Struthio camelus: one gene and its partner. The protein of the gene in region 1 binds, or shares a complex with, the protein of each later gene. Links are inferred from orthologs where the notes say so. Each region holds a gene or a part of one and is shown on either strand. Other genes may lie near its edges.

Region 1 (16,744 bases):
AAAAGCCAGGTTGACTCTTTCTCAGTAGATTACACCTATCTACATGTTCACTGCCTTACTACCACTTCTAAACAGCTTGCCTGGAACAGACCTGAAGCTTAGTTCTCTGGTTCTCCATTTAAAGCTGATACACTTGTCATCTTCTCGTCTTCAGGTGCCGAAGTGGTTTCATGGCTCACATCTAAAAATTTAACCTTTGCATCCCATTACTGTTTGCTTCCTACCGTCGTAGTCTCTCCTTTCTCCCTAATGTGTGTGAGGGACCATGAACGCTCAGGTGCTACCAACCTTAGAATAAAGATTCTAAATCATGTTTTCCTAGACTTGACATACAGCCTCTCATCTTAAACTGAAGTCCGAAATAACATATTTTCTATCGGTACAGGCTTGTTGACACCTTTTCCAGTAGTTTTTTGACTTATGTATCTCACATGATCTTCCTTTGTCAGAGAGGCAGTAATAATGTTATTGCAAAACTGTCTCTGGGGAGCTTTCTTACACTTCCTCTGTGAGCTGGACAGATGCTGTATATTTCTGCCACAATTGAGATTTAACTGGGTGGAAAGGCACAAAGCACTTCAGTGTATCAGCAGATACTAGAGCAGCACAATGCAATCCTATCTTTAGAAAGCAATTAGCTCCGAGATTATACTTACTCTTTCACTGATGCTTTGCAATCCTTCTGGTTTGGATAGATTTTGTCATTTCAACATTTGCTGAAGCATCCAAATATTCAAATCAGAAAAGGATGTGTCATTGTAAGAAGATCCATCTGCCCACTTACATTAATTTATTCTCAAGAATCTCTCTTCCCCCCCCCCCCCATGACATCCCCTGCTCCACAAACCATGATCTTCCTTTTCCTCCAGCATCCTGTCTGAGAGAAATGGCAGGAGTCCAAAGAATTCATTCAAATAATTTAAAATCTTCCTACAGAAATGCAACAAGAATAGTCCTTTCAGCCTATGGTGCACGGACTGCTTCTAAGGAGAGAGTAAAAACTAACTGAGAAAAACAAGCCTATTGTCAGGTTTAAATTTACTATAAAAAGACCCTGCACTTACACTGCAAATTTTTAAGAGTTCTCATAGGATTCATGTTTTAGATTCAGCACCTATACACAGAATTGGGTGAACTACTGGACAAGTCAAACTGGAGTGAAGTGAACATATGGCAGAGATAGAGCCTTGCTTTTTCCACAGTTCTCTGCTACCATACAAACCTGTTGCAGTAAAATGAACAACTAGCTGAAGCTAAGCCCAAGTGAAACAGAGGGAAGGACTTTGAGGAGTTCATAGTAGCCATGGCACTCTCCCGTTTGGCTGGAGACACATACCCATAATTGGTCAACTCTATTAGTTTAGACTTTTCTTCTCACCAGCTGGCTGTTCAGTCCACTCTGAGAGGAGTGACTGAACAAAGCAGAGTACTTCTTGCATTAGGCCAGAACTGGTCGTAGAGTCAGACCTGCTGCACAGCACAGCCTCCAGGACTCCTGTGACCGCTGCCTGCCTGTACTAGAACCATCTCATCCACTAGCATTTAATCCTTATTTAAAAATTGCTGATGCCAGCATTCTTGGTCAATTGTCCCAGCAGCGGATTATCCAGAAACAGGTGAAGCCCCAATTTAGAAGAAGGCTATGCACCTCTGGGGGCATTATGTGAAAGCAGTACACTCTTGGTAAATATGTATCTGAATACTCTTGCTGTCAAAACAAGCTGCTCTATACAGTGTAGCAGAAGATGTTTTACTCCAAGTACGTTACTCCAAGTACGTTTACTCCAAGTACTCCAAAGCTGACGTTTAGGAGGCCAAAAAAAAAAAGCTGGAGGTGATTTGAAAAGTATACTGCCTAAATCGCCCTAAACAGCGATCAGTGCAGGGGACAGCAGCAGGAGAAGCACGGCAGGATGCCACGACTCATACAGGCCGAAACGCTGGTGGTGCTAGCGGAGGCAACCAGCCTCTCACGGCTACACCCCCCCCCCCCCACCATCCGCGTATTTACTCGTCTGCCCTTTAGAGGGGCAGAAGCCAGATGAAATGACGCAGGTCTGACTCCGTGAGCAAATACTGGGATCGTAAAGGTGGCGGGCGGGAGGGCGCCGCTGCCGTGGGGCCGGGCCGGGCCAGGCCGGCCGCGCTGCAGCGCGCAGCAGCGAGCGCGGGGCGCGGCGCCGCCCCAGGCGGCGGCACTTGCCGCGGCAGGTGGGAGCGGCCTCGGCGGGCGCGGGCGCGGGCGCGGGCGGGCTCGGCGCGGTACTCACAGCGGGTGCCAGCGCTCGGGCAGGCGGCGGTGCAGCGAGATGCGGTCGCTCAGGTAGATGTTGATCTGGTGGCGGCGGATGCTCTCCTCCTGGCGGCGCAGCTCGGCCGGGCTCAGCTCCAGGCGCACGGCGCGGCCCAGCTCGCCCAGCGCCCCCGGCTCCGCGGCGGGCTTCTCGTACACGGGCCTCCGCAGCTGCGCCGCGTCGGCGGGCGGCGGCGCGGCGGCGCGGGCGGCGGCGCGGGGTGGGGGGCCGTGCCGCCACGCCAGGAAGCCCACAGCCGCCAGCAGCCCCAGGGCCATCAGCGCGCCCCCGCCGCGGGGGCCGCGGCTCCGCTTGCCCCAGCACACGCCGCGCCCCACGCGGCCGCCCATCCCCGCAGACCCGCACCCGGAGAGGCGCGCCCCGGGCCAACTTCGCAAAGTTTTCCCGGACCTGCACAAGGCGCTCAACTGAGCCGGCGCCACCCCCCTCCAGGAAGCGCGCCCGGCTCTGCCGCCGGCTCCTCCCTCGCTCCCTCCGGCCCGGCCCGGGCCACCCCGCGCCGCCCGGCAGCCCCCCCGCGGGGCGGCGGCGCAGCCCTGCCGGCACCGGCCCGGTGCGGGCGGCCGCGAGGGCTCCGGCGCTGCAGGCAGCGAGTCCCCAGCGGCGCCGGCTGCAGCAGTTCCGCTGCTGCTAGAGCAGCGCGCCCTCTCAAAATAAACAGAAAATGAGTCCAGAAGCCAGGGCATTTATGACAAGCTCCTGTTGCATTGAAGAAAAGTGTTCTTGGTTGCAAAAAAAAAAAAAAAAAGGTGACCTCGTAGTTAGAAATACAAAAGACAAATAAGACCCCCCAGTTTGTTAGCAGGATAACGGACGGCCCATTTCATGACTTGATAGAATTGGGGCAGGGGAGGAACAAAACTGGCATTTAATCTAAACTTGACTCTGGTCGTTCCCAGACAGAGAACGTCCCAGGTGGTGCTCACCAGCATTGCCGAGCGATGAATGCCAACACCTTTGATGCTAAAGAAGTGGAAAAAATCTGGTCATTACCAGACAGGGCCATACTGTACAGATTACAATGGGGAATGACAGCTATGAGTTATTTCTGACTTTCCCTAGCTTAGGCCCAAGCCTAGATACTAATAAAAATTACACATGACAGCTAACACAGAGGCAGTCAACTGCTGTGGAGGCCTTGCTCTGAAGAGAAGGATGCTGAATAATAATGAGCGATTGTGTTGCTGGCAAGCTAGCATGTATCAAGTACTTTAAGTGGATTTGGACATAAGTGTGTGTGCGTGCGTGCACGTGTACATATATAATTTAATTATCTCTTATTCATCTATACAGTTATCTAGCATGGATAACTGTGTATAAACATAAAACTGAATTTGGAAGTATATTTAAAAGCCAGAATAACTGAAGCATAATACTAAGGATGTATGTTTGTGTAAATATGCTTGGCAGCCAACTAGTAAATACTAATATGCTAGACATTAGAACATACATTCTGTATAAAGGAAGATAGGCGTAGCAAGCTTTGGACCTGGATAGTTAGTGGCACTGGTAATTGTATGTCCAGTGATTATGTTGTCTTGCTGCTTGCCATTCTTTCTGCACAAAGGAAGCCCAAACAACATTGTTGATACTGAGTTTATAGCTAGGGAACCCTAGTTGCTGGCTAGTGGAGGGGGAAACCTTTAAGATAAAGCCAACATTTCTGGTATATGCTGCTGATTTAGGTTAAGTTGTCTGGAACAAGCAGTCCTGAGTTTTCCCCTTTGTGTTGGGTTGCAAACTAGTTAGACTAGGACAAAAGAAGCAGTAAGCAAATGAGGCCCTTTTGGAGTGAGTCAAAGAAAAAAGGAGCTGCCCATGGACTCCCAAAAGAAATGAATGGGGGAGATTCAGAACAGGTTCAGAGCAAAATTAAGAACAGTGAAAAAGAAAACAGGACAGTTCTGATGCAGAGTTAATTTTAAGTATTAGAACAGTATAGAAGGAAATCAAGAATATAATCACATAATTAAAATGGTTCAGAGAGAGACAATGTGAAGCTGGGAACAAAGGAACTTAAATAATACCCATGTGAAAAGACTGAAGGAGGCACTCTGCAGTCAGCAATAGTCTGTTCTGGGCAACAGAAAGTACCAAATAACGTGTTTCAGAATAATGTTTCTAGTTTTAATAATAAGCAAGACCTATGTACTCTTGAAAAAAAACAAAAATCAGAGGAACATGTGGACAAATATATTGCAGACAGGTAGAAAATCTCCTCAGGGATAAAAAAGAAGATTCAGATGAAGTATACTCAGCGATATACCTTTGGACCCACCGGTCATTGTTCGTAGTCACTTGAAATGGGCATAAAATAGCATTGCCTTGCAAAGCAACAGCCTTGGCTACTTATTCTCTCCTTTGTTAGCACAAGTATGCTTGTATTTTTACAATATGATTATTCATCCTGCTGTTCTACTGGTGCCCAGGATTGTGTTTGTGTTCAAGGTGTGGTTATTTGCAGCAGCTGCAAACGTGGACAAGACATGAAAGGGATAAGGTCCTCAGCGCGCCTGTGTGACTCTGTCTTGCAGGGCGGCCTTTGGGTGTAGAGGGAACTTGGGTGCACGGCGAGTAGGCAGAGACAGAGCACATCAGGCATTTAGAGGAGAGGAAGAGCAGTGGGTACACAGGCCTAAAAATAAAATGGCATAAAAACACAGACTTGACAAGTGAGATAGAAGCTGTCAGCTATTTCAGGGGTCTTGTATCAGTCTGAAGAATACTGGGTAATTCTGATAGGGGCAAGTCAGTGCAAACTGACTGTATTCAGCAGACTATACCTGCACAGTACCTAACCTGTACTATTTGCAGATCTATATAATGCATATATGTACATATATGCACATAAGTATACACACACACACACACACACACAAAATACCTTGCTCAGAGGATCATATGCAAGCTACGACAGCTTAAAGATAGTAAGGAAGTACATGCCAAAGGCATAGAAATACTTGTTATACGTATGTATTGTTGCATATATATAAATGTTCTCTTTAGCTAAATCGCAAGCATGTACTGCAGATATTAGAATAAATATCGCACATAAAGAAAGCTATGACTAGCAAACTTAGTTGTCAGAAACTGTTAAAACAGAACTGCAGCTCTGTGCACATGTTCCAGAACGGACTGTTCAAGGCCTATGATATTTGAAATGTGACCCATTTTTCATACATTCTTGTGTGGACATGGGAAATTGAAATGCAGAAATAGCTTTTGAAAGTTTCAGCAAAATTATGGCATATTCAGAAAGACTTTTGTAAATGAAAGAATTTTATCACAAAGTTATAGCAGATGTTTACAGTAGACAAAATGGAGACCTGTTATTTATGCCATGATTACAAGTCTGAACTAGGAACTGAAGGGGATATTAAGTGGTAGAATTAATCTTAGTCATCCCCCACTATAGGCACTCACTACCATTCTTTTTAGTCATTTTCTCAAAGTTATTTCTATTTCTATGCCTGAAAAGACCACAGTTAACAAATATGAGTCTGATGATACTGGACAAGTATCTGCTTTTCTCTGATTGTGTTTCTAATATGTGTGTCTCTTTTGTTTTCATTTGAGAGATACACAAGATCCTTTATACAGAGCACATGTTAAGAATTTCAATTTTCTTTTTCTCAGAAGTATGACATTCTTGTGATTCACATCAGTAAGGTTTTAGAGTAGAAAATATGCCTTTTACTCCTTGAATAGCCATATAAATATGGCATCGTATTTGTGGATTTGAGATGCCATCATTTCCCCAAACTTTCATAATGAAGATTATGACTGAGTCAGGTATCTCTAGTTTTACGGATTTCTCTAGGAACAGATGTTCTGGCTACTTGCATTTGTCCCTTTCTGAAGCTTTTGATTAGGATTGTAATTCTACAGTCTTTTATATTATGAAACCCTGAATTATTATATGAAGTAGAAATTTTCTCCTGTTTGATGGTATGAGGATACGTCCATTTGCATGATATCCTATTTAGTACTGTAGGAACAACAGAATTTTTTGTCTTATTGTTTGGCCAGTTTATAGTTCTACATGGGCAGTGGCCCATTCACCATGTTATACTTCCTTTACAAGTTGCACAGGCACATTACATGCCCTAATGGTTTCCTAGGCTTTGTTTTGCAAGTGATGAATTCCATCTCTTGTAGGAAGATGGCTCTAGGTTTATCTCTTTTCTCTCACCCGGTAGTATGAATAGCTTTAACAGAGCTTATAGTGGCCCATTTATCTCCCCACTAGGGTTTTGATATCACTTTCAGTGGAGACTTTTGTCAGAATAAATTTCACAAATTTTGGCCTTAGATGTTTGGTCTTGCTTTATCTGTACTGCTTCCTTGGTGTGCTTGTTCTGTTCCTTGCACTTTTTTTTCTGTCTCCTTTAGTCTAAAGTGATTTTTTTCGTTCACTTCCTTTCTGTCATTTTAAATGATACCCATGTTTACCCTAGTGCAATCCAACATTGACTTATCCAAATTAGTATATTGGTAACTTGAAGCCATTTCTCATGAAAACAAATGTGTTTTTCACTGGCTGTGCACAAATGAAGATGCAGTGGACCTTCCAAAGGACATAGTCTGCACTTGAGAACCTTGAGGTTTTTTTCTCCTGTCTTCTTGTTCTTCTAAGAACTCCCTATTTTTGTAACCTAATAACTAGTTGAAAGACTTAGGTTGTTTGCTGTGAAGTCAAATCCTATATTTCCCATTGGGTACTGAAACCCTATAAGAATAGCCTTTGATTCATTTCATAAGAGATTTGATTATTTTTGCCCTCTCAGTGGTATTTTCGTTCTCTATCGGTGGTAGAAGTCACTGAGTGATCATACCTGTATAAACAAATGCCTAGGACTGAAGGCAGCAATGAGCATGAGATGACAACAGCAGCATTTAGCATAAATAATTTCCTCTCTCATTTTTGTAAACCCCAACAAATATTTTTATTACTTCTTAATGAGTCCCTTAAAATAAAAGTTGCATCTTTTGCTATAAGGTTCCTTATTAAATGCATATCTTTGTCTGTAGTTTCAATCCATTAGTAGATTTTGATAGCATAATCATCAGCTACGTAACATAGATCTGTATGATCAACATGTGCAATAGCTTATCTCAAAGATAAACTGGAGTGAGCCTGTCACTAATTAGACGATAGCGAAAGCATGCACTTTGATACGATAAGCATGATGCAGTTTTCTTGAATCCTGAATGATGTATTCCATTAAGTACTCTTTCCATTCCATTCATTCAAGCTCTGAAATCTCACATGAAAGCAATTGTACTGTCCGGTTTTTAGTCATAATGGCACACTCCTCACACTGCAGTAACCTAAGAATGGCTGTTGTGGGCTAGGCCGAGTCTACTCAGCCAAGTACCTTGCCTCAGATGATGGCCAGTATAACCATCTTCAAGCTTAAGGAAGATATTTTCCGGGATATATATAATGGAGGAAGTATGACTATTATTCAGCATCTCTAGGAACTTGTCATATTCTTTCTGTAATGATAAATTTGCAAAGAGGTAAGTCATTTTTTTATTTGCTGTGAGGATCTACTTCTGTCCTTCTCCAGAGAACTGGTACGAGCTGCCACAAACACGGCCAGTGCTCTTATTTATAGAGGCCTTCTCTGAGTGTGTTTTGTTGGGCCCTTTGCCATGAAGATCTTGCAGTCCAGATTTGCAAGTGGATCAGAGGAAGAAAGCCACATACAATGGAAGATACGGGAGGCGCTCTCTAAAACCAGCGGCTTTAAATGGCTTAATTTTAGTGGCATTTGATGGTTTCACTCCCCTGCCCATAATCCCTTCTAGTCCTCCCTTCCCCAAACCCTCCGGCATTGGTCCATTACAGTAAGTAACATGCTATTGAGATGATGCAGAGATTTTAACAGTGATTTGCCAGGACTTACAGGAACACAAATACAGTATTCTAAAATGATTGGTCACCTGCACTCAGACAGTTATTACATTGGTGCTCTTCTCACTGTGGCCGTTATAAATCCATATAATGTGGAAAAGATTCCGGTTTTGGAAAAGATTCAGGTTATCTATGAGGCTGAAGCTAGATAGAAGACACTTGGATTTTAAGGTGGTGGGGGCCAACCACTGCCACAGCCCTGCAAGTCATCTGAGTCTTACACTCAAACTCTTTAAACTGAAAGAACAGCAGATTGGCGATGTCTGGGGGAAAAAATATTCTTGTTGGAGAATCACTTGGCTGCAAATTCTATATTTCAGTGAAGGGTTTGAGTTGAAGCAAAAAAGAAGTAGGAAGGTGTAAGCAAAGGCTGAGGGAGAACATAACCAGAATGGGACTGGCTTGGAAAGACTGAGCTAAATTGCAGAAGTCGTGCTACAAAGTGTGGGGGGAGGGGGGGAAAGGCTATGTTGGGTGAGAGTGAACGAGCTGTATAATGAAGACTTGCTGTGATGGCTGGGGAAAAAAAAAACACGTTAGGGGGAAAAGACGCGTCTCCCGGGCTGGGAACGAGTAACGGCAGCACGAAGCCGAGCCCGGCCCCCTCCGCCACCTCCTCCGGCCGGGGCGGCTCCTCCTCCCCGCTGCGCCCCGCCCCGCGGCCGCGGAGCCGCTGACCCGGGCCGGGCCGGGCCGGGCCGCTCGGCGCTGCCCATGGGGGAGTGCGGGGTGCCCGCGCCGGTGCAGCTCCTCCTCCGCGCCTGCGAGCAGGGCGACTGCGAGGCCGCCCAGCGCCTGCTGGGGCTGCCCGGCGGCGGCGCCGAGGCGGCGGGCGGCGCCGAGGCGGCGGCGGCGGCGGAGCCCCGCGGCGAGGGGGCGACGGCGCCCGCCGCCTCCGCTCTGCCCGTGCCCGTGGACGGCACCGACGAGGCCGGCAACACGGGGCTGCAGTTCGCGGCGGCCGGCGGCCACGAGCAGCTAGTGCGGTTCCTGCTGCGGAAAGGGGCCTCAGTGCAGAGCCGCAACCACTACGGCTGGAGCCCGCTCATGCAGGCCGCCAGGTAGGGGCCGGGGCCGGGGCCGGGGCCGCCGCCGGGCGGGCGGGCGGGCGGCGTCGCTTGCCCAGCCAGGGAGCAGGCTACGTCCGCCCAGCCGTCCTCCCGGCCGGCCCGCCGCGGCCCCCGCCGCCGGGCGGCAGCGCCCACCCCGCGGGGCCGCGGGTTCGCTCCCGCCCTGCCCGCCGCGGCGCCAGGGCTGGGGCCGCGGGGCTGCCGGGCGAGGCCCTGGGGGAGGCGCCTGGGGGCAGCGCCCGTGCGTGCCGGACGAGCGAAATGCCACGTCGTAAAGCCTGGTTAATGTATCCGTGTTCCAAGGGTGGGTATTACGGCAGATGTGAATAGTCACCTGTTTCCTTTCCGGGAGATGACTCTGAGAATGGATTGTCAAGCGTAAATTTTTTTTTTTCCCCCCTTCCTCTTTCTATAGGCGCCTGGGTTAAGGTAGCGTTTAAAGGTGTGGTAATTAAAGCTGTAGGCGAGTTTCGTTAATTCATGAGTAAAATTAGTGCGGAATCGCTGCTTCCCAAGTTTTTGAAGGTAACTTGGGCATGAAAACATTATGCCTCTCTTTCAATTAGATGGAAATAAAATACATGCATGACTTTAATTTTCTGGGTTTTTTTTTTAAATCTACCTGTTGAGTAACCATCTCAGATTTAAAATGTAATGAGGAAAATGGAAACACTTATTTTCACTTGACTTTTCCATATTTTCCTAAATGGCTCATTGGAGAATATGGAAAATCATTTCTTAAAACTTTAAGGACAAAGCTGGATATTTTTCTTCATCTATCACGATAGTTTTGGTATTGCTTGCTACTGAGTTACAGAAGGTTCCAGTATTGTGAATGCGTGCATTAGTGCTTATCTTTACTTGCACGAATAGTGGATTATCATGCATGTTTTGCAAGATTAGGGACAGTATTTCCCTATAATAATTGAATGCTTGAATGAGAGGAGAAATGTTTTTTGTGTTTCATAATAGATTAGAATACTTGGAAGAAAAAACTTTGTTTGAGAGTGAACGTTCTCCTTTCAATTAAAGCCCATAGAAAGTTCCCAAAGAATGAGTCATACAGCTAGTTTTCCAGTAAGAACAAGGAAGACAACATTCAACAGTTTTGTTATTTTATGAAGGTTTTTTTTTTTTTTTAAAAAGGAAGGATAAAAGTTACAGAAACATTATTAGATTTTTTTTTTGCCTTAATGAAAGCCTTACATAGTCTCTAAAAACAATAAATGCAAATCACCATAACTCTCTAATTGTTTAAAAAAAAAAAAAGAAGAAGAAAATACAAAGTCCTTTCAAACATAGGTTTCGAACTATATACACGTTTAATTTTCTGGCTGTATTTAGTCCTGTTGAACAGCATACGTGCATAACATTAACCACATGCACAGTAGTTGCAGGATGTATGGTGGCGACAGGCTCAACATTAATCTACATGAATAGACCTAAGGACTAGACAGTCCCTGGAAGGTTCCTTCTGCAACTGTTTATTTTCTTTTGTCTGCTGTTAGTGGTTAGTAGCCTTCTGTAGGGATTCCTCAAGTAACATTTGTTTTGCTGCAGTATAGAAGAGTTGCTTTCTGAATCCAAGCTTGATTGCATTAAACACCGCACGAGCATATAGTAACGCATGGTATCTGCATCAAGAAGCACAAAATATATCTTATATATGTATTACGTTTATAAAAACATGATATTTCTCCGCAGTTGAGGAGGGGTAAAGGGTTTCCATTTTCTCACCGTTAGCTAGCTGGTTATGTGTGTGGCTTGCATGATTGGCTGTAGCTTACTGACAAATTACTAGAGCTTCTGATAGTCAAGTGGTACTGAGGCTGGCTTAATGGTGAAACTGGAAAGGAAGGGATGGTGCAAATATGAAGACTGTCTAACCATCTCATGAAGTGGCCTGATTTTTTTTTTTTTCTTCAGCACTGATTGGTTGACGTTTTTATTCCACTTATTCACCGTATGCAAACAAGCTGACTTTGATTCCTGACTGTGACACAGGCCTAGAATTGAGAGGATGAAGAGTTTATGGAATTTATGCTTTTGATATCCTCCTGCAGTTAAAAATGAGGCTAGCGCGTTGCTGCTTTGGCCGGGACATCCTCTTAAAGCAGTGCCTAGACTATGGGCGTGGTCGCCTACCTTGGCAAAGCAGTGCAGGAAGGCACAGGCTTCAGCTGTTGATCACTCCCCTCCAGTGAAGGTGACCACTGTCTCATGTAGTGGTGTGTACATGTAATAGCTCGCTCCTTTCCGTTGACTAGTCAAGGAGCCAATTTGGTAAGCAGGTTTTCCATGTTGTCAGAGTATGTCAGTTTTCTGAGAGAAGCTTCTACTACCTAAGGAGTTCATTATCTTCTCTTCCTTATCTCTTTCTTTCTTTCTTTCTTTTTCTCAAGATTTGGACATATAAGCGTGGCTCACATCCTTCTGGAGAATGGCGCTGATCTCAATGCACAGAACAAGTTAGGAGCCAGCGTACTCACAATGGCCTCCAGAGGTGGCCACGTCAGCATGGTGAAGTTGTTGCTGGAATCTGGAGCGTTCGTAGACAACTACGACCATTTTAGTACAAGCTTACTGAGCAGCAGCAGCAGAGAGGACCTACCAGATATCACTCCGCTAATGGCAGCTGCCCAGCATGGACATGAGGCAGTGGTGCATCTGTTACTAGACTGGGGAGCTGACTGTAATTACACTGTGAAGACCATGGGCTGGAGTCCTTTAATGCTGGCAGCTGTTAGTGGAAAAGTGAGCTTGGCCCAGCAGCTCATGGACAAAGGTGCCAATCCTGATCATCTGAACGTACTACATAAAACGCCTTTTGAAATCTCTGTTGGCTTCAAACACAAAGACATGAAGGACTACCTGGAATCTCTAACAACAATCAGACCCCAGACAGGTACAGTGTGTTAACTTTTTTGTTTTGCTTTCCTGAAGTCTTGATTATATATTTGCAAATTGAAGGGGTCGTTTTTTTAATGAACGTTATGTTCTTTAAACATATAATTAAGAGCCTTTGAACTAGGAGATCAACGTTGGTGTAGAAACACCTACCTTGGGTAGGGCAGGCATACCCGACTTCACAGATTTCCTCCATGGTGGCGTGATGGAATTCCTGTTCTGCAGTGAAGTTTGTGCTTGAAACATTTTAAAACGTTTTCTTTACTGTTTATTTTTTTATCTTTAACATGTATGAGACAGATGCTTATTTAGGAAGGAATTAAAAAGGCCTACTTGACATGGCACTGAAGAAAGGATGTCAAAAACTAGAAAGGATGTCAAAGAAAGGATATCATAAACTCAAAACGTACCAGATATAAAATCTAGAAAGCCTACTTTACAGTGAAAGACTGAAGAATTGCAGTCTATGTAGTTCTATAGCGAGGTGGTTATGAGATGCAATTAATAAAATGTCTACATAAGCACAAAAAATCCAATAATGAAGGACCTCTTTACCTGCCAAAGAAAAAATCTTTCTAATGTTAACCTTACAAAATGGGATGGGAAATATGTTTTGCAGTGGAACTAAGATCTGGAGTGAGTTAGCAGAGGTGTAGAATCTCCAGCAGTTGAAATGTCACAATTCAAGATTAAACGTCTTTGTAAAACTTCTGATCAATGAATTAACCTCAGGATTTCATAGAATGCATAAGGAACCTGTTCCTCCCAAACACGCATGCGTGCATACAAACACACATACCTTGTGCTCGTGTGTATACCAAACTAGATTAAAAGCACGTTACTTCAGTGCAAATCTCAAGTAAAATGAAGTTAAGAAATGCTGCTTTTATGATTGCTTTAATTCTGCCCCATAATGCATGCATTATGTGCACTGAATGAGATGAGAGCAGATGAAGAAACGTTCTGTGATTGTGTGATTAAAGAATCTGTGGCAGTAGGGTAGCTGTAGCCATGGTAGTTTGAGGGTATAAGAAGTACAAGATTTTACAGAGAGAGGTAATATCTCATGAGATGATTTCAAGGTTTAGAAAGATGCAAGCAAACTTTGACTACAAATTTTTTTCATTCAGTCTAAAATAGTATATCCAGTACTGCACTCTAAATGATGATTATTCTGTATAGAATAGAATAATATGTTGCAAGTTGTTATTAATAATTTTCTAATTATTTTTACTCTATTTTGAGTACTTGAATTACTAAGCAAGTTCGTACTCTGATAGTTTTCTGCATGTAATTTCCTAGGATTTGTATTAAAGAGAAAGGTTACAACTGCTCACTGTTATCTGTCAGTTTGAAATGCTGATGAATTTAGTTTCTTAAAAATTCTCAGTGGATAAATAAAATAAAAAGTATGAATATAAAAAGATGAATGCAAATTTGTACTGGATATATCTCCCAGATATCTTTCCAAATTAGCTTAGCTTTTATTTTTAGCAAGTTTTATAAAAATGTTATTAATGTCTTATGCCAATTCCATTGAAGTATCATGGATTTGCTGCTTTTTCCTTCTCCAGAAGTTTGGAGCCAACAGAAATGTGTTAAATCTGCTTCTAAAGTGAGACATTTTGCTTTGGTCATTAGAACATCAATAAATCATTTCGAAGTTTGAGACCTTATTCTGTATGTGGCTATTTGGGGACGCATTTCAAGATATTTGTGCTTTATAATGTAGACAGATGATGGGATGTGTTTAAGAAGAGGGTTTGGAAAAGCTGCAGGAGAGGATAGGCATCTAGATTTTTCCTCATTGGAGTACTTGCTTTAAAACCGAAGTATGTGGCTAGCCCTAAAAAGAACATCTGCCAGGTGCTACAACTTGGCCGCGGTGGCTGAAAGCCTGCAGAGTAAATTAGTCCCCCCCATCCCTTTCTGCTGCTTTGCCCAAATAGACTTACTTAAAGCTTACGTAATTATCTCTGTATTACACTGCAGCCTGGACATAGCCACGGTCCCAATACAGCCATGTTTCTCTTGGTTAAAGCTTGTAAATTTTAATTAAATTTGGTGTCATTCTTGCAGGTCAAGCTTCCATTATACTTTAAGAAAAAAGAACAGAAATCTAACACTTCTTTCTGCTTCAGAGAAGATTTTAACTTAACCTATTCCACACCAACGTGTGACCAAGTGGGAGCTCAGACTCTCATACAGCCAAGCCACCAGACAGAACTGGTGAACTGCGCAGACGCTTGTCCACGACCAGTCTCTGACAATAGACATGAGTTAGTTGCAGTATAGAGAAAAAATCTTCCATAATCATCCAATGCAGCTTAAACTGTCAGAGAAGGCTGTTTAACCTGCAGCAGGAAGCTCTGCATTAAAAGCAGATGTGTATTCTTGTCATCTCTGCTGAGGGGTATTTTCCATCAGCAGAAACTTAGTAATTAACTGGGGCAGGGAGGGATTAAAAAATGTTAACCTCCATGGATATTTCCACGGTGGTGTTTGACTGTAGCTTTGATCTTCTGCGAACACCAGAGTATATGGGGGGGGGGGGAGGAGAGGGGGCGGGAAATGTTCTCTCAATCAGATGTAAGGCAGCAGAAAAGGAACTTGTCTTCTGATCCATTGCTGTAGGGAATTGCATCCCAAACACAAGGGGCTTTCATTGCAGGACTGTTTTCAGTAACAAAAATGTGAACTACCCTGTTGTTCCCTGTGTCCTGTCCCTGTCCTTGCTTTGGGTTACGCGGTCTGTATAACCCTGTCTTTCAGCATCTCATCATGGTCTCCTGCTCCCAGAGGCTGCCTCTTGTTCAGGCTTTTAATAAGCCAAATACAAAGAGTCCAGGCCTTTCCTAAACTTGGGTTTTGAAATCCGTTGCCCAACAAACAGTGGGCTCATACAGTTTTTTTCTGTAAGAACCGTTTTTTAACTGGGAACAAACATAGGACCCGTAGCTCCAGTTCCCAGCCTTAAAATATCTTAAGAGCTTCTCATCATTTTTCAGGCTTGCCAGCAATTGCAAATGACTTCCTCTGAAGTCAAGCTGTGAACATTAACCTTTTCTGCATTCTCATAAAAATGGCAGATTCAGACTGAGGAGGTCTCTCTACATCTCCTCGTTTTCTTTAAAACTCTGTTGACACTACAGAATCAATGGGGTAAAAAATGCTTTAGGACGCAGGACGATGAATTTTTCTGACTTGAGTCAGAAAAGGAAGGAGCAAAATAACTCATGGTTTTTTCCTTATCCTACGTTGTGCCAGTGGTTTCAAAGCGCTTTGAAAGTCAGTAAGAAGTAAGATCTTTCACTCAAAATATTTTAACTTTGTAATAATTACTGTTCTTATGTTGAGGATGAAGAACTGGGAGCTGAAGGATCTATGTTAATGCACAAGTAGCAAACAAGCTGTGTGGTTAAATCACCAATATTTTTGTGAAGGTCACAAATTAATCTGGCAAAACTCAAAGGGGGGGCAGGAAGGAGCATCTTGTAAAATTCCTTTTGAGTCACTTTTCAAAACAGTCCTTTACTTGCTGAATGTTTATGCCTATACAGAGGATTACATGATTCCACAGAACTTCACTGTAGCTCTTTAAGTAATATTTTAGTCTCTCAGTTTTGAAACTCAGAAGTTTCCAAATACCGTTTCCTGTTACAGGATGGACACTGAAAAGCAGAAACCTTTACTGATAATGTATTATATTTCGTAAAGTTAACTGTGCACAGAAAGCTATACAGGTGAGCCATTTCTCCCATAGGTAACGTAAAGGTTATGTTGTACTTTCTTTCTTCCTGACTCCATATGTCCACACAAATCTTTTATAGTAATTATATATAGAATTTGTTTACGTTTTTTGCTATACGAATTTTACTAGAAATTTTTGGTTTTGTAGCAGTTGTTAATAAAACTATTTATGTCTTTCCAGATACAGAAAAGAGGCAACCTGATGTCTTTCATGCTTTGAAATTGGGTAAGTACTGACAGGATTTTTCCACGTCTGGTTCTTGCAACTGCAGGGCATGCCTTTTTGCTAAAATGGGAAACTGAGACAATGTGTTCTGTTTTTATATGTTACTTTGTTTTTTTTCTTATTTTTCTTTTAATTTAAAAATAGAATTATTTCTGTAGTCTGAGTTTACAGCTTGTGGTTGTGTCCTTCATGCCAAAATGATGTGATTTAGTAGTTCCAGTTATTCTAAGTCCATGCTTGCTTTAAAAAGCTCTTTTCTTCCTGATAAACTTGAAGCATGAAAACAAAAGCACTAATTGGTGCAAAAATATGTTGGCTTCTACTCCATACGAGCGTTGTAATTGCTCTTTAAAGCTATTTCAAGAAAAGAGTAAAGATCTTGCCTGTGTTCTCATGAGTAACAGTTACTTTTCATGAGCACGCACAAAATCTGTTCTTTGGGAAATGGAAAGAGCCGGTTCATCCTGTTGATTTCAGTTTGATCCAGACACTGATGGGTTGCGCTCTTGGTGGATGGCAAAGTGTTTTCTGGTTACCTGTTTTCCTGAATCTCTCA
Region 2 (16,578 bases), on another chromosome or scaffold:
TATCTCCAACTACCTTTCCTTACCCTTTCATTATCTCCAGGAAAGATGAGGGCCCCATTAACGCTGCCATTTTGCGATGTTAAAAAGTTACACTGAGAAATGCTGTAATGAAAGGGAAGCATTTACACCATCTCCTTGGGTACTGCATCTATCCAGCTGCCTCATCCATTTCTGCTGAGGCCTCTTCAGCACTCTGAAATAGACTACAATAACTAATGGAGACAGGACAACGGATGAAAAGATGGCCTGATACTTGTACCAAACACACAGATTTTGAAGCTGGAAAGTGCTGAGCACTTCTTGCTCTCGCTGACATGGGAAGGCCTTTCGGCTTCTCAATACTTTTTGAGATGAGGCCCACAACCTTTTCTTCCTCCTCCAACTCCTGACCAGGGCTTATTCCTGCTCCTTTAAGCACAGTCAACAATAGCTGTGTTCTCACAACTGTTTACCCAAAATGAGAAGATGGGATGATCTCAACAATGCTGTTAGTTTGAATACTTAGCCATGCACACACTGGCTGAGGGTATGCTCACACGGCATGCTGCTAATTTAGGTATGAGAACCAGTCTATCTGTGATGACACCGAGATCCACAAGCATTTAAAACACTGATTGCTTTCCCCTGCTGAATATTATTTGAAATGTCATTTTTCATTACAAATGTCTGCATCTAATCTGTGAAATACCATCACCAGAATAGAGATTACTTAAAAATACTTACGATTTTTTAAAAAGGAAGTTGGCTATCAGTTATGACATATAATTATGTCACAACTACAACAAAACCATGCATTTTATACGATCATTCAAGCCTTTCAGAAAAGCAGCACCAGCCTCGAAACAGTTTCACCTTGTAAAAAACTTCATTGTCTGTCACTCTCACCTAAGAGATGATGTTCACTCTTTCCAGACCAATAGATCTCCATGGGTAACTGAACCACGATTAGGTCTATTCTGATATTACAGTCTGCAGGTGACGAAAGATAAAAGCCTGATGATAGCCACAAGCCTCTTACGCTGACATGAAACTAATCTTGGTTCAGCAATATCATTTAGATGTATTGGTCTGGAAAGGGTGAAGAGTGACAGACAACTGAGCTTACTACCCCGAGAAACACATCACAGTTCAGTACAGGTGCTGTTTGACAAAAGGCAGCTGTGAGCAAACAACCTGAAGGGAAACACAATGTGTGCATTTGCTTTAATTATAATGCAATCAGTCCTTAGCTTATTTTTAAAAATTGTGCTTAATAATTTAATATAAATCATTGTAATAAAAAAATCAAACCGTCACGTAACCTGCTGCATTACTAAGTCTCTATCCTCTGAAACCTTATTCACAGAAATCAGCATATTGTAAGGTACTGTACCGGGTCCCCAAGAAAAATAAACGAAGATCTGCAGGATTCAGCTCCTAGCAGAGAAAGGAACTTGAAAATATACTTTGAGAAAGAAAAAAATCAGTTTTAAATGAGTCTTAAATCTTAACAATTAGTCTTAAATATGGTTAGAATAAACAAGAAATTACATATATGAGTTTTAATATCTTTAAAGTTAGACATAAATTGAGTCATCTGTCTCAGCTGGGCCATAACAACTAGTTTTCAAATCTAAACACATGCCCCGTGTACACATACGATCCAGTTTTATCCTCGCTTGCACAAAGATACAACACACTGAGCCTGGTCTTAGCACTCACCCAGAAACATCAAATTTAAGTCCACTGAAGTCAATGTTATCAAATACGTACTGAAAGGAGAACCATACCTCTAGTATTACTAGAGCAAGTGACTTATGCTAGGTGAAGTAGGAATTAAACACCTGAGAAAGATCTCCTCCAATAATTACATGATTAAGCAATGCAGCATAATTCACAACACAGGCAGGCGCCTGTATTTTGTGCCTAAACTGTAACGGCTCTAACTCCAAAAAGGAAATTTTTCTGGGAGTACAGATGAAAGAGGAAATGAGACATCTGTAATTTGACTCCATGGAAGGCTTTAATCAAAAATATCATGTTCTCATGCTTCTTGCTGACTAAGTCTAAATGATTTTTTAAAATCAACGTAGGAACTAAATAAATATTGTCGCGAACAATCGTGTCAATGCTGGGACTATGTGCCAGTCGAGTGCACGTGAACTGGTCAGCTCATGAATCTAAGCACTTGGCTTAGGTGGAAGAGGTTCAAGAAGAGACACTTAAGTATTGGATTTCAGAACATTTCTTCTCACCTCTAGCATTAGTGCAGTACCACAGAAGAAAAGTCAAGGTGCAAGAAAGCCAGAAACCTCATAGTTTTAATGAAAAGTCTTACTGTGAACAGAAACCATTCACATCTTCCCAGGGACAGACTTTGTGGTTGGCTTTCCCGAATATGAACACTACCATGCTGCTGATCAATGGCTTTCGCTACTATTACGAACTTTCTACGACAGCTCTATGGAACAAAGATCAGGTATTTTTGGTTCTGTGTTTGTACAGCATCCGACCCAACAAAACCCCAGTTCATGACAGCAATAAATGCAACAAAGAATGCTGTGGTATGTGCAGAATTCAGCATTTTGGTTCTTTATTTTAGTGCAATTCTGTATGCAATACACTGTCCGCCCTACACATGAACATCACCCCTTGAAACCATTTGTTTGGCCCACTTACCGGCAACGACAAATGGGTTAGTTCTTGAGGATGTTCAGCTGAGGAAGTTTGCTCCTTAGTGATTCGTTCTAGAACGCTGCTAATGCCCTCCAAGGGTGGCTTCACTTTCAGCTCTGGGTGGCCTGGTGATGGCTCCAGAAATATTTTAGAGAGTATTTTTGTCTCTATCAGTTTTCTTCTCTCTTTTTCACTGCCTGGATCTTCCATAGACAACGCTGTATTAAGCCAAAATTCCCCTGTTTCCCCAGCTTGTCTCTTGCTCAGTTCTTTCTCCTCAAGATGGTCTGTGGAATCTGCAAAAGATCCTTCAAGAACCGTTCCCTTTTGGCCTGGAATTTCTTCAGTATGGCTGGCAAGACTGGAAGTCTCATCTTTAATCACTTGCATATGTTTTTTTGCAATGACTTGGACACCATCTGTTTCTTTCTGCAAGCCAAAACTTTCCAGGTTTTCATTCCAGACCTCCCATGGATGTCTTGCTGTTTCCTGTATTTGCTACAGGTAGAGCAAATACACATGCAAAAAAATCACATCTTCTTACTAAGCTACAGAAGTGGACAATAAGCCAAAACAAAGTGATTGGCAGACAGCAATTCCAAATCAGACACCATCTGGTAGCAGCACACAGCATGCTTTGTCACAGAAAACAGTAAGACTGTTTACTTTGCAAAGTCTCTAACTTCAGAAAACGCTAAATGCCCTTGAAGTTAATTTGCCTTACGTCTGGTCATAACGTGATGTCTTACACCAAGATAAACGAATGGGAAAAGCAGCCCAGGAAGTTAGTCTTCCCATGATGAAATAACAGAGTCAGCTGGCTTATCTTCCAGCTTCCTGTGATGACTAGTCTTCATCACTGCAGATATAATGTAATCATTTTATCTCAGAACAGCTGTACAAGGGACTAAATTCATACTAGTCCTCTTTGTCCTCCATTAGTCCTCCACATGTCCTACTTCTACGTTTTCTAGATACATAAAGTGGTGGTTGAAACTATAGCAACCACTGAAAAGTTTAGAAGCCGTTACAGAGCATTACTGTTAACGCATGGATGCTTAGTGGCTTCACAGAGCCCTCATCCTGAGGGTATGAATGTTCAGCAACTGAGCTGCAGGCACCGAGTTTATTACAGAAAGGTCCACAGACTCAGCGAGCAGCATCTTCTTCCTTAACAATTCAGTGTTATCATCAACCCATAAATATTTGGATGCTCTTTCTGACTAGTAGTTTGCTCTCTGTTTCACCCTGGGCACCTGCTATTACACAACAACCAGTACCTTCCTCATCTTCAATAGGTACATTATTCAAAATATGTTTTGTTAGATTTAGAAGAGGCTGAAAGATTTCTTGAGAGACAGGACCATGAGTAAAGTGAAGGTTAGGATTTTAGAGAGGAAGAGAGGAGATCCATAACGTTAGGAACTAAGGAGTGTCATAGGTCTTGACAAAAGAGTAGAAGGACAATAATAGAAACTTCAGGAAGAGGAGACAAAGGAAAAAAGGCCTAAATCTCCACAGCAGAGAGAGCTTACAAGAGGAGCTATATAAAGAGAAAGAAAGTAGTACTGGGGACTATGCTCTTACATGACACAACTCAGTCAAATAGGTTCAATAAAAGTAACTACCCACATCGCAGACAAACAAAAGAGTGGGGAGGGGGTTTAACGGTAGTACAGTGTGCACAGAATAGTCAACAACCTGCATATTTGAGTCTTCCCAGGAAAAATCCATCAGTTCTTCTGACAGGTCAGGAATTAAGTTTGGATGTTCTCGCTGGAAGATGAAAAGCTCCCCATCGCTCTCACAATCAGACTGACAACAAAAAAGAGAAATTAAATGGGAGACTCTAACCTCCAGCCAAATATCTGTTTTGTAGTGACAAATTTCATCTTTTTACCACTTCACTAAAGTTCAGAGACAAGAATTTTCTCTTCAGTCACATCTTCACTAGACAGTCTGATTCAGCAACCTAGGCTGTCATTACAGCGGCCTAGCATTTGAGCAAGCTACCTTAGTAAAAGCTACAGAAAACATTGAGTTACCATGGAGATTGATGACTAACATCCCCCTGTGCTAAATAAGGACAAGAGTGGGCAAGTCCTCTAACTCCCAAATGATCCCATGCACCTGCCAATTTAACAGACTACACTGCCTCATTCACTATTCAGAACGCAAAGCAGTATCCACACTTGGTTGGACAGAGTTTAAATAGAATTGAAAATCTCTTTCCTGAACATTAAGATACATGATTGACATGAATCTTTATGCATAGACACCAAAGTGAGATTAAGCACCTCCTCAGCAGACAGTCAGGACCCAGGTTTCCTGTTTGTCCCTTTGTTTTGCAACGTGACACTTTCAGCAACTGGCACTGTGGAGAATTCTCATTGTTTGGTGTGATTAGTTTTACTCACCATGGAAGAAACTGCAGTAGAACTGCTTTCCTCTTAATAAGATGCATATGAGGGTGACCAAAGTACCCTTTGGGCATAAAGTACTGTTTGTCATTGCCGTTTCTGAATATAGGACCGCAGCCCATTGAGATTAGAGAACTCAGATGCATAAATATATCTTGACATGAGCAGAAACCACTCAGGCAAAGGTGCAGCACTGAAACCACAGTCTCAGCAGGCTACTGTTTTATATCAAGCAGGAGAGGGATTATACAATCAGATCTTTTGAATGCAAATTAAGGGCAGCATGTAAGTGCCAAACAGATTGCCTCAGTTCCTCCAGCAGGAAATGTGCTCAATATATAACAGAAACAAAGAAAATCTGGAGATCATTTATAGAAGTAAAAAAATGTTCAACGTGATTTACAGTTTAGAGATTGGTACTTGGCACCAAAGCACAAAGCTATCCTTCTGTCATGACATTACTGTACACTTATGCAACAAAAACGCCTAGAACTCATTCCTGAGTCTAGGGCCTTAATGTGTACTGTACAGACACACATTAAAATGCAATGCTTGCTTTAAATAACTAAAACAGAACGTAGGCAGAAGGGAACTGAGAAAGAGTGAGGCAATATGATTTGTCCAATAGGTTAGTGATAAAGCCAGGAACAGATATCAAGTCATGGAACCCATATCAACTCTTTACCCACTAGATCACGCTGCTTCTGATGACTGACTAATAATAGGTGCTTAATACCCCATGGAGACACTTCCAGCCCCGTCACTGCTCACAGGACTCCCTTTGTATGATGAAGAGGCACACTAAGTTAGGAAAAAATATTTCCCTTAAGCGTTCAGAAACATTTTCCTTCTAGAAATACAGGTTTGAAAACTAAGAGAATATTCTGATCTGGACAGAACGCCACTAATACTCAGTCAAATCCTGAGACACACGATCACCTCAGGAAAGCCACTACGAGAGCTAGCATCTCAGACTAGCGAGGTATACACTTGTATTACTGCCACCAAATTATTGCTGTCCTGTGAGCAGAGAACTTCCAAGTTATCAAGTGGCCAATAAGCAGTCAGTCCCAGACATTGAGACACAGCAGGTAAAAAACCTGTAACAGTGAAGAATACTGCACAATACTCATCAATCTCACACTTTATATTAAAAAGGTAAGTGGCATTATCCTCCTTTACACGTAGAATTGAAGCATAGAAAGGCAACATAGCTTGCTAAGAATTACAGGCAACGAAGAAAACAGAATCCAGGATTTAAGTATCTGCCAACTCCTTCTTCCAGACGACCACAAAGTCTTCAGAAATATGACTTCCCTGCAAGCATCACACATAGGAAAACATACTGACAGGCCTACTGCCTGGCCAGTACGCTTTTTGAATAACATTGTCAAGGATAAAATCAGAATAGATTTCATTTTAACACAGCTGTAAGTTTCTTTCATACTGTACTCTTTGCTGAGCAAACAAAGACGACATGTAGGCTCATTCTGTGAGATGCCCACTACCACCATCTTCCCACTTTGAGACTACTTAGTATCTGGGAAAATCAGTGCCATTTTTAGGTTCCAAAGAATGCAGTGAAGTGAGGTGGCAATTACATCCTGACCATTAGAGCTAATGCAGAAGGCTGATGATTAATGAACACACACTACAACAGTACTCAGAACAAAAAAGCAGTCCATCAAGGACACCATGCTAGCTACTCAGAAATGCCTGGCTAAGGAAGTGACCTTCTCTTGCTTTTGAGAGATTTTTCTAAAAAACTGTGAAAGAACAGTGGGTTCCCGTGCTTACTGTGGAAGTGTCAGAGTCCAGAGATGGGAGCTGATCTTTCACTGCAGCGAGAATGGCTCCCCACTGAAACGCTCTGTTACTCTGAACAGGAGCTGTAAGAGGCTCAGGTGGACACTCTGTATCTTCACTTTGCCTTTCTGAGGCCATTTGAACAGCTTCCCTTCAATCAAATGAAAGATGAGCTTGGTACACATCACGAGAGAAAACAAATGATAACATCATTACAAAGGAAGAACAAAGCATGTGTATTCAGGGTCAACATAATTCTCAACACTCACAGGGTTTTCACTCCCAGCAATGAATGATAACATCTGCATTCCTGGAGCCTTTCCTTCCCACCTGAGTTCCACAAGGCCGAGAGCTTTTTGCCCTACTCACCATATACATACATAAACGGGGCCATCCAGGGGTCATTTTAACCCCTCATTTATAAAGCAGATCTTGACTGGGCTGATTTGTAATTGTGCTCTCAGAAAAGCACATTCTCACTGCCCACGTCAAGAGGCAAAGAGGAGGCATGACACCTCTGCTCTCATTTGGTCTTTAACTCGCTTTCCCATTTCTCCTCATGTTCCCTCCCCCTCCACTATTCAAAGACTGATAAAATGATTTACAACTGCTTTTTATCACTGGATTTGCATAAAAATAATTTCCAGTCGCCATGCTCTTGGATTTTGACCTCTCAAACTCTTTATAGAGTGAATGCCTTCCTCATGTTTTCGCTGATGTACAAGAGGAGTCAAGAAAACACAGTAGGGGCTACCACTGTGCTTGTTAGATAATTAAACCTAATGGAAGACCTTTGCTTTTCGAATTTCTGTGCTACAATTGCATGGTTCCCTGGGGAAATCAGAAGTGGGAGTAAATCAGTTCCATTTGGTAAGAAAGGCTAAGAGATTTATGACTATGTGGTTCAGAACTGAGTTGATTATTCATATCATTACAATATCATTATGACGTGCATTGGCATGGATTGACAACATACCTCTCCGTATAAAGGGAAACTCATCTTATGCCCTGGGAAGTTCACAACTCACAAAGTCCCGCTTCACAAAGCAAACGCTTCCAGTGCCATCCACCTACAGCCTACAGTTTTTTTTTCACATGAGGTAATGCTGGAATCTGATTTACATAATGCTCGCGGGGTGTGGGGGGGGAATCACCAAGACTGAAATATGCTCACATAGAAGTTTGCTGAAAGGAACAGGATTTCCACGGAAAACCAACCACTTACTGTGGCTTCCCCTGCCACCGGGAGAAGCAAGGCCAGTCTCCCAAGGTAAGGGCCGGGATGCCCAAATTCAGGATGCTATACCGGACCTGACATCATTCATCTAACCCAATACCTCTTCTCCAAGAGCAGGCAGTACCGTGTGTTAAGCAAAGTGCGAACAGCCTTATGTCAGACAGCTCTAACGCTGCCACCGCTGTCGGGACCCCAGGACGAGAAGGAGCGCGGGGCAGCGCAGCGACGCTACCGAAGGGCCCTCAAGATGGCGGGGCGGCTGCGCACGCGCAGCTCCGCCCCTCGGCCTCCCCGTCGCCACGGCAACGCCGCCAACGGCTGCGGGCGCTCGCGCCCCGCCAGGCCGGCCCGCCAGCCCTCCCCCCGCGACCCGGCGCCGTGCCCCGCCGCGGGCCGCCACCGGCGCCCGCCCGCCGCCCCGCGCCGCGCCGCCCCTTCCCCTCACTCACAGCACCGCCCGGGCGCCTCCGAGGCCCAGCGCCGGCGCCGCTCCCGGCCCCGCCCCTGGCCCGGGGTCCTGGCAGCTAGCTGAACCAAATCGCCGTAACTTATGTGAGACGAGAAAACGGAACGGGCAACCCAAAGAGAACAGGGTTATAAAGCGTCTATACCTCTGCCTCATGCCCCTCGGTGCCGTTTTTGAAACTCTTTTTCCCCTGCCTCAGCGCCTCCCGGGGGCCGTGCGCTCTGCCAGGACCGCCCGCCGTTGCGCGGGGCCCGCCTCTCCCTGGCCAGCCGCCGCTCCGCCGTCGGAAAGCGCCGCCTGCTATTGGCGAGGCGCGGCAGTGGGCGGAGCAGCGCCTCCGCCGCGAAGGCTCTTGGGGCTTGTGGTTTCGTGTCTCTAGGGGTTACGGGCTCCCGGCATCCTCCGCGCGGGCGGGGCGGCTTCCGGGAGCGGAGCCCACCGGGCGAGCAGGTGAGGAGCGGCGGAGGCGGCGGTGTGGGCCGGGCCGGGCCGGGCCGGGCGCTCGCGGTCGGCCACGGGGAGGCCCCTCCGCGGGCCGGGCCGGCTCCGCGGCGCCCGGCCTGCCCCGCCGCAGCGCTCCGGCAGGGCCCCGGGGGAGGCGGGCGGGCGGGCTGACGCGCTCGGGAGCCGCTGGGCCGCGCGGGCGGAGGCTTCTGCCTGCCTCCCCCCCGCAGCCGCGGCCTGAAGGCTGCACCCGAGCTTGTCCCTCTTCGGCCGCCCCGAAGGAAACGTGCTTCCTAGCGTGGCTGTTGAAGTGCTTTCAATTCCTCTTTTACCTGGCTCTGCCAGACAACTCTGTTTTGTTGTTTTCGGGGTTTAGTGTTTGTGTTAACAGCTCTGTGAGCGTCACGCCTGTGTTGCAGGCGAGGAGCAGAGCAGCCCTGGGACTTGTCTGCAGGCACGCATAGGATTGAACACAGGCATGCTGGGTCCTCAGCCACCACTCATGCTGGGAGAAAACTTCTTTTCTCACACCTACTTAGGTCGTGGTATCATCAGTCCCATGAAATCCAATGCAGTTCCCATAAATGTAGTGTGTGTACCTGCCTCCGGTCAGTCAGCAGAAAACAGCGGTCTGGATATGAGATGTCACAGCTCTGGGAGTGCTGGGTGTGGAGGCTGAGCTAGTTACAGCTGAGCTGTTTGAACCTTTGCAAGGGTGTGACAAGGCTTCTTGTTTTTGATAGCTTCCAGCTGAGTTTAGTGGAGATGGTAAAGGCTGATGCAGAAGTGAAGTATGTGATCAGCTCTGTGGTTCATTTGGAAACTCCAGCAGTGTCCAGACTTGTGCTTTCTTGGGGAGGTATTTCTTGCCACAGCAGGGCCTGTTTGGCTGTTTCCTCATTACCTATGCTTGGGGAAGAGCTTGGGAGTGAATTTAGCAGAGTCAGTGCAGCTTAATGGTGACTGATGGGCAAGTGATTAATATGCAGTGTTGGACTTTGTTCTGTGATGGAGGTTGTTTGCCCTAGTTTCTTCTCAAATTGCCTCCTGCTTCCTTTAGTATTGTTTTTTCTACCTCTCTTTCCATCTACTGTCACTTACTCCTTCCTAGCCTTATCCTCCAAAAAGGGGATACTAAGGTGCTGTTTAGTGCAATTTTCATAATGAATTGTCATGTACTTCCCTTTCCCTACTTTCTGGTTACCTTGTCTGCTTTGACAACCAAGCTCTCTGAATCCAAAACACGCTATTGTTTGTGATCTGCACTGAGTCTCAGCATAGTACAGCTCTAACCATGGTGATAAGCTAGGTGTTGGTATGTTAAGTATAACTGATTAATAACCAGACTTACAGGGCTAAGGAAGTTCTCAAAGGAATGTCAAACTTAATTACTTAGCCCCAAAGCAAGGACAGCCTGTACCTATTCCAGGGGTGTTCTGGTACTGTTGGTTTACTTTCAGAATAATTTCTGTAGTCTTTAACCAAAATCTTCCTTACTACAGTTTAAACTTATAGCATCTTGTCGTATTCATCATGGGCACAAGGAACAAATTACTTCTTTCCTCTTCCTGTCTGCAGCAGCCTTTTCTGAATTTGAAGGCTGTTACCACATGCCCTCTCCCGGCTTCTCTTCTTTAGTCCAGACAATCCTGATAGGCGTAGTATGTCATAGTCTTTAGGGCTATGATTGTTTTTATTGTTCTCTGGATTCTGCCTGGTTGTCCTCCATATTTTCGTCGGGGCGTGTGCAGCTGGCATCATGCTCCAGCTTAGTATGCCAGGGTGAAATCTCATAGTAAAAGATGATGTAGCCAGCTAGAGCATGGTGGAGACAGTAGGAAGGAGGCTGAGTCTTGAATGTTTTGGTCTTAAACATAATCTTTTTTTGTGTGTCAATATTGTCAACATCCTGGTAGAGACCAAGCATCTGTAGTTTTTACAGTTAACATTCATTTTAGAAGAAGGTATGGAGAGAATACAGGGAGCTTCATTTTCATCTGAATTGGCTTCTCCAAGTTGTCATGGCTTTTACCTCCTTTAAGCGTGAACATGACTTTTTGCCTTCCAATGGTAGCTTTAATCTGTTGCAGTAAGAAATACTCCTACCTTTTTCCCCTGCCATCCACTTATACACATTTATATCTCTTTGTATTTTGATTGTGAAGCGTTCAGGATGTGGCCTGTCTTTTATTTGTATTCAGTCCTGTATATTCTTGCCTTTGTGTTGCAAGTGTAATAGAAATAGCTATTATTGTGTAAAACATGTGCCTCTGCAGATATGCTTTAAAAATGAATCATTTATTAACTAGCACACCTTTATTAGGTAGCACGGATGATGCTTTTTTAATCTGAACAAACTTCGGAAGAAGGAGGGGAAAAAAGGCAAATTCATGAGAGAAAAGATCCAATTGGGGAGTGAAGGGTGTGGGAGTTGAAGGCCTTTTTCTCCTTTTGTAAGAAAAGGGGCTGGTGATTGCAAGAAAAGGGCTCGGAATTCTTTAGAAAATCCAAGGATAGTCTTGAAATGTTATGGCTGAGGCAATCTAAAGAGCAACTGCTGGTGGGGGAAAAAAACATGCTCCTTTTCTCCTTTATTCTTCACTGACGCCAAATTTGGCATTTACATGACCCTGCAAAGAATCGGTCTGAGGAGATAAACTGGCAAGAAATTATCAGGAAAAAAAGAATAGGTTTTGCTGGCTTAGCTGCCCAACATAACATGTGGTGGGATCAGGCAAACTCCAGAAGTGGTGCATGGGAGGTGGCGAGAATACAGGGCAGGTAAGGCACTCCCCATTCGATTGACTTGGATGTAGCCTGAAACTGCAGCTGAAGAGATCAAGTGATAGATGCAGCTGTGTCAAACAGCTTTTATGAAGTGCCAAACAAGAACGTTCTCCTGTGAGTGGTTAAAGTGATTAATACGCAATTGCTCCCCAAGGCTAAGGATGGAAAATAAACCTTTCAGACAGTCATGAAACTGTGCTGGCTTTGTAATTAAGTTACTGTCTGCAATACAGTGGACACACTCAGATAATGGAGGGGCAGGTGTGTTGCACATCAAAGTGTGTTTCAGCCATTTCCAAGACTCACAGAGACAGGACTGCTAGGCTGCTTCTAAAATGCTGAAACAATAAACAGTAAAAATAACCTACTGACAGCCTGATGACATAATGAAGTGTTCACTCTCTGCAGATGATATTAACTCCTTTTGATAGCAGTTGATAGCTGTTATTATTAATGAGCAGGTAGTAATTTAAGCAGGGCTATTCTGCAGCATAAGACAGATGTCTCTGGTATTTTCCTGATGCATGAATTCTTAATTCTCTCTGAATTATAAACCATACAGGCCAGGAATTATGTCCTTTAGTATAATACGAAGCATGCTGTCAGCACTTTAAGAGTTTAACGTCGTTTCTTGACAAAGGCTTTCAAAAGTTGCCTTCGGCATATTTTGGTTAGCAGGGGGAAGAAAGAAATGCTTCTGAAGTCTTAAAATCAGGTTTGAAAGATGATTTCTTAGTATTACTGTTTTTTATTTTTCTAGTGTATACAAATTCCAGGGTCCGCTGCAGCAAATTGCCAGCAAAGCTGCTCGGCAAGTCTTACTGCTCCAGGCTACAGCAAGCTAAGGAAGGGATTAAGGCAAAGGTAGGTGTTTGACATCTCATACCTCAGAGGTGACCTCACTTTCCAAGCCCGCAGCATCTTGAAGCTGTAGAGCCCATGGGTGATGCTATGTTAAACAGAGAAGTGAGATCAGCCAACTAAAAGTTCCGCTTTGCTTTGGTTGCTCTGGGCAGGATGTCGGAGCTGAGCGATGAAGCCAGTGAGTCGGAGCTGCTGAGCCGCAGCCTTTCTATGTGGCATGGGGTCGGTCAGATGATCTGTCGAGAGGAACTGGATGTTCCCTTGGACTTGCATACAGCCTCCTCCATCGGCCAATATGAAGTGGTACAGGAGTGTATTCAATGGTAAGGAGGGTTGGAGAGGGTGCAGGTCTATTCTTATTTAATTCCACTCATGTTTTCTCGCTGGCTGTCGTTCCAGTCTTGTCTAACACTGGGACAAGGGCACATCATTGGAACTTCTGCAGTGTTTTTGGGCACAATGTTGGGCACAAGGTTGGAAAGGACAGGTCTTCTGGTGAAAATTATCACCTCAGTTATTGGGTGAAATTGTTCTAGAGCTGATACGAATTCCCATGTGGACAAGACTTCGGTGCTAGAATTTTTTTAACCTTTCAGTGCAGTGATGGTAGCAAGAGGGTACAGGAACCTACTGTGATCTACAGCTCCAGGCCAGTGCTTCAGCGGAATTCTTTTCTTTGTTATTTAGTGGAGAACTGGATTTAAATAAGAGGAACTGTGGTGGCTGGACGCCACTGATGTATGCCTCCTACATTGGTCATGACACCATTGTGCATCTGCTGCTGGAAGCAGGAGTGAATGTGAACATCCCAACACCAGAAGGGCAGACACCGCTCATGCTGGCCTCCAGCTGTGGAAATGAAAGTGTTGCTTATTTCCTTCTGCAGGTGCGTATCCAGTAATAAATAGGTAAAGCCACCACTACATGGTTTACATCTACAAAGAGTAGGGTTCTCCATCACTTATGACCAAGCTACAGTTTTTGCTCTGTTGTGAGTTCAGCTTCCTGACAGGGATTTAAACTTTCTTGGTATCACAGCACAGAAGGGATGCAGTAAAGAACATTCTCTGTTCTCTTGAAGCAAGGCGCAGAGCTGGAGATGAAGGATATTCATGGCTGGACAGCCTTATTTCACTGTACCAGTGCTGGACATCAGCAGATGGTGAAGTTCTTACTGGATAATGGGGCAAATGCCAACTGCAAGTAAGGAGGAATTCATCTCCAAAACATGTCTGTAATATTTCAAGTATGCATCCTCTTTGATTCCAGCCCATGTGGATGTGTTCTTTCTCTCTGTCTCTCTCTAGGGAGCCTGTGTATGGATATACTCCTCTGATGGAAGCAGCTGCTGCTGGCCATGAGATAATTGTTCAGTATCTTCTCAATCATGTAAGTGTCTGGCGGTTCTCTGTAAAGCTGAAAATCTGTGATTCCAGGCCTCAGCGAGGGAAAAACTGGGTGTTTGATGCCGGATTTCTTAGTGTTATGTTTAGTTCTTGATGAGTCACCTCTGAAGACCCAAGCTTCCAGAATTGCTCTGGAAGCGTATTTTCAGAAGGCTAGTGCCCTGATTGTACACTGGCTTTGCATGAATAGAAGTGAGATCTAACTGTCCAGAGTTGACTAAATAATGACTAAATTGGTAAACAACTAATGCAGTTACCCCTGTGTTGTGTTTATAGGCTTGTGTGCTCTTGCTAGTGGGCATCTTGTGCCCTCTGTCCTAAAGCTTATGGACGCTCATGTCTCTTGAGGTTAAATAGCGCCTTTTTAATATCCCATTTAATTGGTCCAGCTTATTTCCAGAAGGAAGCAGCAAGGCAAAAACATATTTTGGATAAAATGGACTAGTTCCCTGTGGCAATGCACAAAAGCAAAATACCTGGGCAAATTGGCATTCCAGGACTGGAGACACTAGCTAATCAGGAAAGCAGCAAGGGATTAGTTAGTGGAGCTTGAACTGTATATCAAAGATGAGCCTGTATTTCTGATGGGTTTAGAGGAAATAAGACAATTCTTTGGCTCCCTTGAATTTTATACATACTTCCCCTTGCTATATACATGGTGTACGTGTTTCTTTTTCTATAGGGAGTAAAAGCAGATGTGAGAGATAACACGGGAGCTACAGCACGAACCCTGGCCATGAAGTATGGACATATGAAGATTGTGGGGCTGATAGACTTGCATACAGCCCCAGTGCCCAAAGTCTTCTGCAGGGGTCCAGGTAACAGAAGAATGGTTTGGCTCATGCATCTTTAGAGAGAGCCTGAAGAGAAGTGCTTGTTGTTTTGAAAGCATGTAATTACTTGTGTAGGGGTAGTATTAGCTGATCTGCCCTGGAAGTTGCAGGACTTCTGAGAATGAAACAAGCATGGCAATTTTGGTCTGCTGACCCCTTTCTGACCTAGTTAACCTATGTTTCACCCTCTCTTTTAACATTTCCTTTTTTTTTTTTTTCTCTCTGTCTGTTTGTTTTTACAGGACTAGTAGCAAATAAAGCAGATAAATGAATTAACGTGCCGCTAACAGTTTTTGTTTTGACCACAGGAAAATATGACGATCTCAGTTCCTCAGATGAATCATGTTCTGCTCCCCAGAGACAGAGACCTGTTCGTAGGACCAAGGGTCCCAGCATCCATGAGGGGCCCCAAGCTTTGGCTAAGATAACAGCAGTTGGAATCGGGGGAAAGAAGCAGTCTCGTTATGGTGAGAAAAGTTAAAATCTAAACCAACAGTTCTTTTTGATCTCTTAAGTACTCTGCAGCTATTTCTGTGCTTTTTTTGGGGGGGGAGGGCGGGGATGGTTCCTGTGTGGCTTGTACAGGAAAAAGGTAGCAAAAACACTCTCCTACAGGGCTATACAATCTCTGGTTTAAAAATAAAACATCTGAACTTTCTTGTCAGAGCTGGATATTGATGAGTGCTTCACTTATCAGTGGAACAAATGCTGCTGTTAGCTTAGTCACTGCTTAGCCCTGACTCTTAAACGGTCCAAGTTCCTTTTCTGAGGTAGATTTAAAAGTTTGAGAGCAGTTCCTAAGCTGATGATGGAGTAAGCAGTTACACAGGCCAAGATATCATTGATAGTGAAAGGGAACTCACTGTTCCTAGACCTGTCAGTTTTTTCTTCAGTGACACCTGAAATACTCACTACTAAAAATGAGATTAAGACCTGTGTAACAGGCAAGGAGAAAGGTGGTCCTAGTTTAGACATAAACCACTAGATACAATGGTATGAGTTTTGCTGTGTGTCCATGACCACAGGTACTCAAGTTCATTACGTTGTTGTCTAGAATAGCTAAGAACGTGGGGCTTAGAAGCGTATGTAATGTTTGGCTAATTCTCTTAGCACAGATACACGCTATCCAAGGATAGCGACTGTACCAAAATAGTACTGCCAGCTTCTGATATCATAGTAGGCTGCTACCAGTGTATTAACATAGATGCAAAAGGGTTGCTTTTACGGGATGTGCTTAGCTGGCTGGGGCGGGGTGCAGTCTGCACTTTGCCCTATTGAGCAGGTGGTTTTTCTCCTTGATAGTCCAGGAGTAAAGAGGGGAGGAAATGCTGAAAGCTCTGTAAGTAAGGTGCATCTCTGCCACAAGGCTGTTTCCCTGTGACTTTTCAGTTGTACCATCTAGATAAGTACATTTGGTGTGTGTTTGTGTGAGGGTTTGTAGGTGTATGTGTTTCTCAGTTTTTTGTTTGTGTGTTTTGTTTTGTTTTTTTGTGTGTGTGCGCCATTTAAATGGGACCTGCTGGTTGAAAGTACAGTCCGTCCTTTGGATTCTTTTCAAATCCCCGAGTGGTTGCTAGTGGTTGCCCTTCTTCTTGCTAGAGCCTCCCTGGTAACTTGCATCCTAATTTCTTTGCTTGTTCTCCCCTTCTCTTGCACACAG

Evidence for each region.
Region 2: the proteins of ANKS6 (region 1) and ANKS3 are in contact, whole or in part, in a crystal structure (PDB 4NL9), measured with the Homo sapiens proteins. The link is inferred for Struthio camelus from reciprocal best matches to the Homo sapiens genes ANKS6 and ANKS3. Residues at the interface, in NP_775822.3 of Homo sapiens: Glu796, Gln797, Glu798, Val799, Asp800, Glu802, Ala803, Thr806, Leu807, Asp811, Glu814, Leu815; in NP_597707.1 of Homo sapiens: Lys441, Tyr442, Thr470, Leu471, Phe472, Gly473, Pro474, Arg476, Lys477, Arg484.

The regions. Positions count from the first base shown.
Region 1 is NC_090943.1:73,347,274-73,364,017, reverse strand, and holds the start of ANKS6 (ankyrin repeat and SAM domain-containing protein 6), read left to right. Parts: upstream 1-8,912; 5' UTR 8,913-8,949; coding exon 8,950-9,296; intron 9,297-11,457; exon of another isoform or gene 11,458-11,588; intron 11,589-11,707; coding exon 11,708-12,210; intron 12,211-16,143; coding exon 16,144-16,188; intron 16,189-16,744. Other genes in the region: GALNT12 (polypeptide N-acetylgalactosaminyltransferase 12), read right to left, coding at 2,271-2,644.
Region 2 is NC_090956.1:18,023,095-18,039,672, forward strand, and holds the start of ANKS3 (ankyrin repeat and SAM domain-containing protein 3), read left to right. Parts: upstream 1-8,987; 5' UTR 8,988-9,034; intron 9,035-12,575; 5' UTR 12,576-12,679; intron 12,680-12,831; 5' UTR 12,832-12,832; coding exon 12,833-13,002; intron 13,003-13,366; coding exon 13,367-13,565; intron 13,566-13,717; exon of another isoform or gene 13,718-13,760; coding exon 13,761-13,882; intron 13,883-13,986; coding exon 13,987-14,068; intron 14,069-14,767; coding exon 14,768-14,903; intron 14,904-15,226; coding exon 15,227-15,385; intron 15,386-16,578. Other genes in the region: DNAAF8 (dynein axonemal assembly factor 8), read right to left, coding at 2,659-3,153, 4,357-4,470, 6,873-7,032, 8,730-8,740. UniProt on the Homo sapiens protein: May be involved in vasopressin signaling in the kidney.